Linked DNA regions of Neodiprion lecontei. The protein of the gene in region 2 purifies or fractionates together with the protein of the main gene of each other region. This does not show direct contact. Links are inferred from orthologs where the notes say so. Each region holds a gene or a part of one and is shown on either strand. Other genes may lie near its edges. The genes, in order: scaffold protein salvador and serine/threonine-protein kinase Warts.

The links.
Region 1: the proteins of serine/threonine-protein kinase Warts (region 2) and scaffold protein salvador purify together in Homo sapiens (affinity purification with western blotting; 3 studies listed by BioGRID). This does not show direct contact. The link is inferred for Neodiprion lecontei from reciprocal best matches to the Homo sapiens genes LATS1 and SAV1.

Annotation. Positions count from the first base shown.
Region 1 is NC_060263.1:10,383,489-10,387,422, forward strand, and holds the start of scaffold protein salvador, read right to left. Parts: upstream 2,316-3,934; 5' UTR 1,987-2,315; coding exon 1,896-1,986; intron 1,767-1,895; coding exon 1,693-1,766; intron 1,460-1,692; coding exon 1,332-1,459; intron 972-1,331; coding exon 744-971; intron 632-743; coding exon 410-631; intron 309-409; coding exon 3-308; intron 1-2. UniProt on the Homo sapiens protein: Regulator of STK3/MST2 and STK4/MST1 in the Hippo signaling pathway which plays a pivotal role in organ size control and tumor suppression by restricting proliferation and promoting apoptosis.
Region 2 is NC_060260.1:181,117-185,050, forward strand, and holds the start of serine/threonine-protein kinase Warts, read left to right. Parts: upstream 1-1,528; 5' UTR 1,529-2,198; intron 2,199-2,366; 5' UTR 2,367-2,802; intron 2,803-3,934. Other genes in the region: uncharacterized protein LOC107221828, read right to left, coding at 131-232, 332-570, 675-676. UniProt on the Homo sapiens protein: Negative regulator of YAP1 in the Hippo signaling pathway that plays a pivotal role in organ size control and tumor suppression by restricting proliferation and promoting apoptosis.

The DNA.
Region 1 (3,934 bases), on a different chromosome or scaffold from region 2:
ACCTGTACTCTTCGTATCGCATTACAACTTCTTCTAGTTCTTGTTTGTACAGTCTGGTGAGCATCGCATTAAAACAATCCAATTCAGGAAGACGAAAGAGCTCCCAGCGTAATTTCCGGTCCAAAGCAACAGATGCTCTGCTGTATACATAAAGCCAATGTGGGATTTCTTCATTCAGATAAGGATTTGCTGGAACTAGAACGCTATGGGAATGAAAATGCGTGTGGCGTGGTGGTGAAACAACACGAACGGCTTGCATTTCCAAAGGATAACATGGATGTTCGTATTGTGCTTGTCTTGTGATGTGACTGAAAAAGACAAGGAAATATATTCATCGATGTTTTCCCATGCGACACCTTACATTGTTGCTTTCGCAAGTTAATATCATAAAAAATGCACAACAACTTACTTCACATAATATACTCCGTACTCTGGAGATTCTATTCTCTCCCAACCTGTCGGTAGACCCTCTTTTTCAAGTGGATGAGACCAGTGCGTAGTTTTAGTATTGTGATCAATATAGTATTTTCTACCACGCAGAGTGAAGTCGACCGACCAGCCTGGTGGCAGTGGTAACTCTTCTGGTGGTTCCCCTCTTGAACTCGGTCTCTCCGAGTGCCTCCTATTGTACCTGAATAAGTATGAGAACTACATAAGCAATGAAATTGCATAGTGATACAGGAGTACAAAATAATTTACACAACATGTTATTGATTATTGACTAAGGTACCAAATTATTCTACCCAGAGTTTTGGCAATACGGAGTCTGATTATAATCTTCATAACCTAAATCAATTTCAGAAGGCAGGTAAGGTAATTGAGGTGTTTGAATCCTATCCAAATGATATTCAGAACCAGCATATTGGTTCACATAGGTGTGCGAAATTGCAGGGGACAATTCAGGATGATACATCGGAGTCGGAGTACGTGAGGTTGTCCCGTCGCTGGAAGTAACAGAAAGGCTGGCAAATCTGTTGAAAAATGATTAGTTAGTGTACAAATAGGAATAACAAAAATCGAACAGAGACTGTTCAAAGTAAGCATCGACATGTGAAAAATGTTGCTCTTCGTTGAGACTTGTGTAGACCAAACAATGTCGATAATATCTATTCAATTATGAGATGAAATTTTATAATCAACCGTTGTGTAGGAAGCCTCTTACTAACATGTAGTTGGCTGTAAGAAAAGTACCAAATGTTGGCACATTCTAACTATGCAACAAGTGATCTTATTGCAGGTAGAAAGAAAAGTAATGGAAAAATAAATATTTTCATAGAATTATGCAGGATCAACAAAAATCAAATACATTTCTAGTATTGGAATATGCATACCTTTGAGCTAAATCTGGAACCGAGCTATTGGGTGTATATTTGCCCTCGTGACTTCCTAATCCAACTGCGCTCATAGTTGTTTTTGTGTTTCCAAATTTTTGGACCATACTTGGCTGTTGAACTACAGGCTATAAAAAGGACAGACATGATAGGTTTGTTTATACACTTTGAACCGGTCAGACATGTTTACCAACGCCATCGTGAGAAAACTGAAAAGCAGCTCGTGAGATACTACGAATGAGTTATTCTTTTATATTATCTCGCTCATAGTATTTTTATACAAATGAATACCCAACTCTTGCTTTTTCATTTTCATGTGCATACTCACAGCTTTGATTGAGCAACAATCAGAAACTCTTACCGCAGACGATGGTATAGATGATTGATTAAATCTTCTTATTCTTCTGACTGGTTCGGTTGTCCATACGTTGATAACTAAGTAGTCAATTTAACATTATATAAACTTATAGGAGTACGTTATTCAAAGAGTAGTTTATAGACTTCTAAGAATGCTTGCTGGTCGTTTTCGCGCAGCAAATAGTGATAAAGCAATTGAATACTCACTAGGCATTTCAGGGGGTGTTTCTTTTTTAACATATTTCCCAACGACGCCTTCTTTAATTGTACGCAAATCTTTGTTTTTGCGTGACAGCATATTTATCGTACACTTATGAACGTTGCAAATTGAATTAACTTACATGAAGCAGATTTACATTGAAAGGACTTATATCGAATGTGTCGTTTACATATTATTTCGACCGTGTGGGTATGTGTTAATACTGGACTGGGCTTTCATAATATACAAATGTCTGTAACGAGGTGAAATTTTTCAACATTTTGATAGTCACTACTTTAGGACGACATGAATAACTAAAAATTATCGAGGGAATGAACCCCGTTTCCACTTCAATATGTCAAATCGTGAACTGACAACTACTTCGGATAACCACACAGTAACGCGCAGTCCGTCTGTTACACCCTTTACCCTTAAGGTGGGATTTCATGTGCAGGAAAAAGCATCAGCAGTTTAGTAACTTACTAGAAAAATACTAACATCTGTTTGGTGATTTGCCGCAGCAGCAGCGCTGCTCATAAAAAAATGTCTTGCGTTTGTTGCTCTGTTGTTCGGAAGAATGAACTTCAAGTGGCGTAACTTGCGCCGGATGTGCTAGTAACTTTCAGTGAATTACTTTGATGCTGCCCATAAAATCCCAGCCTGTAGGGCATTCTTATAATTAGAGCAGATGTTGCACCACGGAGCAATATAAATGAAGCATTGACTGAAGATATACAAACTGCGTCAACGCCGCGGCTATTGAAATAACTTACAATCTGGCTGGGAGATTGCGTTCTCATTGATTACAAATCAACCTTTGTAAACATTCATTTGAACTATTTTCAAATGATTAATCCCCATATTTTCGTAGTAGTGATTACAAAACATGGCATCAAGTTCGACAATCACTATCCTCGTTTCGTGTCATTCCCAGCGAATATTAAGACTGGCCAGGTAACAATTAGTACAATATTAATATACATGTACGAGAAAGATTGGAATATCCTTTACTAATGTTTTCTATACTGCTGTTCTGGCACTTTGGAATATTCGAAACAGCTCGAAGCTGACGAAAAAAAAATTCCTTGCTTTTTCACACCCCCGAATCTGGACGTAATTACATACTAATTTCAGCCATATTTGGCAAATCGGTCTTCTGTTTGTAGGCTACCTACAAAGATACGAAATATCAGATTATAAAGATTATTGAGTTCCATAAGTGATATGAATTTTAAGAGGAGGAATAAAGTCGAAAATAAACTAAGCTTTTTCGTGATTGGAAGAATCAATTGATTCTTTATCAACTTTTTGCAGTGATACAGAGGTGTATACAAAATACACAAAGCTACTCATTTCATCACAAATAGTTTAATATTCATTCTCTTCTTTATGCGGAGGTTTATTTCAGAGAAAGCGTACTTTCCTTTAACATCAGTTTTTTCACACAGATCGACACTAAGTGATGTAATTGGTCGGATATAACGAAATAGGTTAATGAAATCAGTTAATGTCTTGTTGTGTCAGAAAAGCGACATAAACGGAAAGTGACCAGTGTCTATCTCTTTCTCCAGAACTCCCACTATCGCAGTGATCGTTCCAGTATTATTTCAGTGTAGCGCACAATATGCTCTAAAAAGAATGCAATTTCGAAAATTTTCAGGTAAGTTGAAAAATTAACGACGGAGCCAGGAATCGAACCTGGTATCTAGAGATGCTTTGCCGGAGACTTACTCCACTAGACCACCTAGCCGTCCTGACTACAATGTCATTAATTTCTCTCATCACCTGTATTCGAAATTGTTTTTGTTTCCGTGTGCCGTGATATATGCTCTAAGGGCTGCCGTCCCATGGTCCAGAATTTATACCGTCTCCACGAACCCGGAATCCAGTGACTTATCAAGCCCTAATCAGAGGCGTTCTGGCTCCACTGATTTACGGGATGCATTCTTCCTACGGTCCCATGATACGGAATTGACACGCATGGAACGATCGCCTGCGAATTGCGATCGTTCCTTTTAGGTCCTGAATTGGAAATGCGCTACTGTGA
Region 2 (3,934 bases):
TTTTAACTAACAGTACAATTTGCAGAAAATTCCTGCTCTTGAATTTTGAGTGAACTTCCAGTTAATTAAATTAAATGTATGTACAAATTCATTCGCTGATTTTCCTATCAATACTTTTTTACAATCTTACCACGAATATCTGGGTTCTTGTTTTCCTTATACAGCGTAGTCGAAGGTCCATCTTTTGAGGGTATGACATCATCCGATGGAATTCCGCTGACGTGTGGTTGGTCTGGAATTAAATTTTTCAATATAAGTAAAATTTTAATGTAAATGCAAAAACAATTGCTTGCATTTGTTTGCAAGAGCCAATGATACTGATTTGTTTTACCTGCTATCGCAACACAGCTTGTTTGAGCCGAAATTTGCAGATCCTTAGACTCTGTATGCAGCTGTTCTTGGCGATGATTACCGTCAACAGGTCCATTCAATGTTGGAACTGCATCACACGTTAGTAAACATCGTGGATATTTTTTCCAGATATATTTTGGCTCAAAGTGTTTGTTACATACACGAAAATCTCGCCGGTTCGGATTCTTGGCTCGGATGAACTCATGCCATTTTTTGCGCCTGTATTATGAAAAATCATGATGTACATTTGTTTTCATAATATATGAAGATACGTGGGGACCCACAACATTCCCGTGAAAGCGAGGTTATATATTCATACTTACATACAGTTGCTCTTTTTTTGGTAACGCGAAAAACGTCACTCGTCCTCCATTATTTATGCTTTGATTTTTGATATATTTGTAATTGTAACATAATTTGACGTCACAATAAATTGGCATCTTTGGAAAAATGTTTGTTTGTTATCCAACGTTTACCCAAAGATTATAGCAACGCGTCATCACACCGACAATACTAACGCAATCACATCTTCACTAACGCTACACGTACGCGTTATATTTTTCCTCTGAGCCGCTAGAGGCGCTGCAATAGGGCGATACGGGTAAGATAATATATATTATCTTAGATGCGGGTACCTTCCACCAACTAAAATAATGTATATATTATCTTAGCCTGCTCGAGGCCCAGATCAAGGGGTCCACATGGGCTTCACTCTGTCCGGAGAGCAATGCAGTATGCATAGGCATTGCATGTACATACATACATACGTAGTCTCACATTGGTAAATGATTGGTAAACACAGACGGTAATCTTTTGAAATCAAGCAAGAGTCCGGCGGTAACAGCAGTGCCCACACTTATCGACTCACTCATGAGGATTACAATGATGATTAAATCGGTAATGGTAGGAAGTTTTTTTTTTTTACCAATGCTTCCTGCACCTTCACATACTTTCCTACTTTAACAATATATAGTGATCGAAGGTGTAAAACGTGTAGAAAGTGTTGCTAGCACGAACAAACCCAGTTGTGTGTGGTTCACCGAGTAACCATGGTAAGAGCGACGATAATGCAGAAACCTGAAGTTACCCCCGAGCAGACCCGAACTTGGTGCACCAAAAAGCTGTCACGCGATGTAATCCGAGGTTGGTAATCTCTGACATGAGCGTATTGTAAAGTCAACGCCTGTGGAGTTCGGCTCCTCCAGGCCCCTCACGGTCTCTATCTTTCATGAATTGGATACCTATTTTCGTAAATTTGATGCATCTGCCAATGCATACTATTTAATTTCATCCAGAGCATGCGTAAATCTATGATTTACAACCGATACCCAGTTAAACCGTTGAATTCAAATGGAATAGCTTACCAGCCTTAAATGATTCGAAAGTAGCGCCGATATTGATGCCAGTTCAATGAATCTTTCATATTTGTTGGATATAGAGTTAAGCCCTTCGAAGAATCGTTCTTATAAATAGTTAAAAATAACTGCAACTTCGACTGCAATGAATATTTGTAATACGGAATGCTGATATACAATTTGTGTATGTATATACGTACTAGAAATTGTGAAAAAGATTGTCAAGTCAGTGAAGGAATGTGGCACTTCAAAATGGCTGCCAGCCACTTTAGTAATTTACGGCTGTATCTTTCTTTGTTATCGCTTTTATGATTTCGACGAAGTTTTCTCAGTTTCAATTATTTTCTTCGTTGTAAAGTGTTTGCTCTAACGTTCTATAATTATTTCTGGTCCGGTCTATAAACCCTATTATAATGTGACTACGGAATATGCTCTCGATCCTCAGCTGGCATCACTCTCGGTTTAAAGGAATTTATATCAAGATATTCTTGAGTAAGAGGTTTTATATATTTTACAAAAGAATCTACGCACGGCTACTAACAAGCGGCATAAACAATTAGTCGTTATCGGCGATCAATTCGCAAATTACCGAGTCTCTAATTCGGTAGTGTGGTGTATGTATGTCTTTATATACAATTTATTGAAATTGTTTCATTTCAGTAATAAAATATTAGCACTTCGTACTCGTCAGTGAAATAATATCCCCTCAACGTTTTGAAACTGTATTCAACTAGAAAATTAAATAATATATATAGCTACAATGGTGTGCACAACTTGCGCTCTGTAACTTGCCACTCCTATTGGAGATTGATTTTCTTTGGTGCAGCCAGTTTTGCAAATAATTACAACCCTCCAAATGAATCTTATCGTAAGCCTTTAAAATTTTCAAGAGTGCACAGCATTGACAGTTGGTTCAGTGAAGTGAATTCAAGTACCAAATTCCACGTACAGTGATCGGCAACAAACTGGTTCACAAGAATTTCTTACCATTGTGCCTCTTAACAGTGCTAAAAAATAAACCATTGGTGTTGAATACTGCCATGTCAGCGAAGGATTTCATTAAGGAATTACAATACTAGCTAGCCTTATTTGTTTGGTAAGCATTAGTAACTCTACATCATTGTTTATAAAATCTACCATTCTTATTCTTATTAGCGTCATCATCATCGTCAGTATCATCATTGTCATTACTTCCGTTAGGAGTTGTAGTACTCTTCGTCTGGAGACCAAAGCATCGCAGGAGAGAATATATATTTTCATTATGGATTTTGTGTACACGAAAATTCATGATTAAGTTTTACACATTTTACCTCGGCAACAAGTATAACACTCATCATTTAATATTTAATTCATGATGTGTCCTTAGTGTAAATCTAATCGAAGTTTAACAAGTTCTATTTATATTTAGCTTTTGATATTGATATGACAAAATAACAGCATGCAAGTCATGCTGAAGTCACACAGGAGTCATATACCATTCCTACTAAAACATCCTAAACTTTGACAAAGTCAAGTGAAACTCGTATTCTAACCTTCTGAGGGCGATAGGAACTAGAAGCATGATTCAAACCTCATGTGTGTGCTCGAGTTTCAGATAGCAACGGAATATAACAATTCATATAAAATCGAGCGGTTGTATAACAGAGGCAAAGCATATCCTTATCTTACCATACTCTAGTGTAACCTCAGCGTGACTCGTGTTCAGTCACTTTCTATGCGAATATCCATAGCGTTATGTCTATAACCATTTGAAAGTCCTATTAGCCTCTTTACTTTGATCTCATATAGTAATTACTTTATTTAAATTTTTTCTATACCATTTGTGCACATACATGCATGCTGGTGTTGTTTTGTCAGGTTGTTGAACAGGTTTAAACTGACAAATTATATCATCAATTCTTAGCACCTGAGAGCAAGCATCTTGTTAGATGCTATAATGATTTATTTACCATGTCCATCGCTTTTATGATTAAAAATTTTACTAGAATGAAATTAAAAATGTAAGTTGCATATGAAATTATGCCACAGCTGTGTATGAAACTCGAGGATATCGTGAATCTTGCATACGTCTGTCATTACTTGTGACAAGTTCGAGAATCATTAACTCTACTGTTCAATTGAATGATCGGTCAAAAATTTTATTCCATTTCTTCCATAAAATACACGCTCGAGAGAAAACCCCTAATGTTGTATGATTCTTTTGGGTCTGTTATATCATAAATAAAACC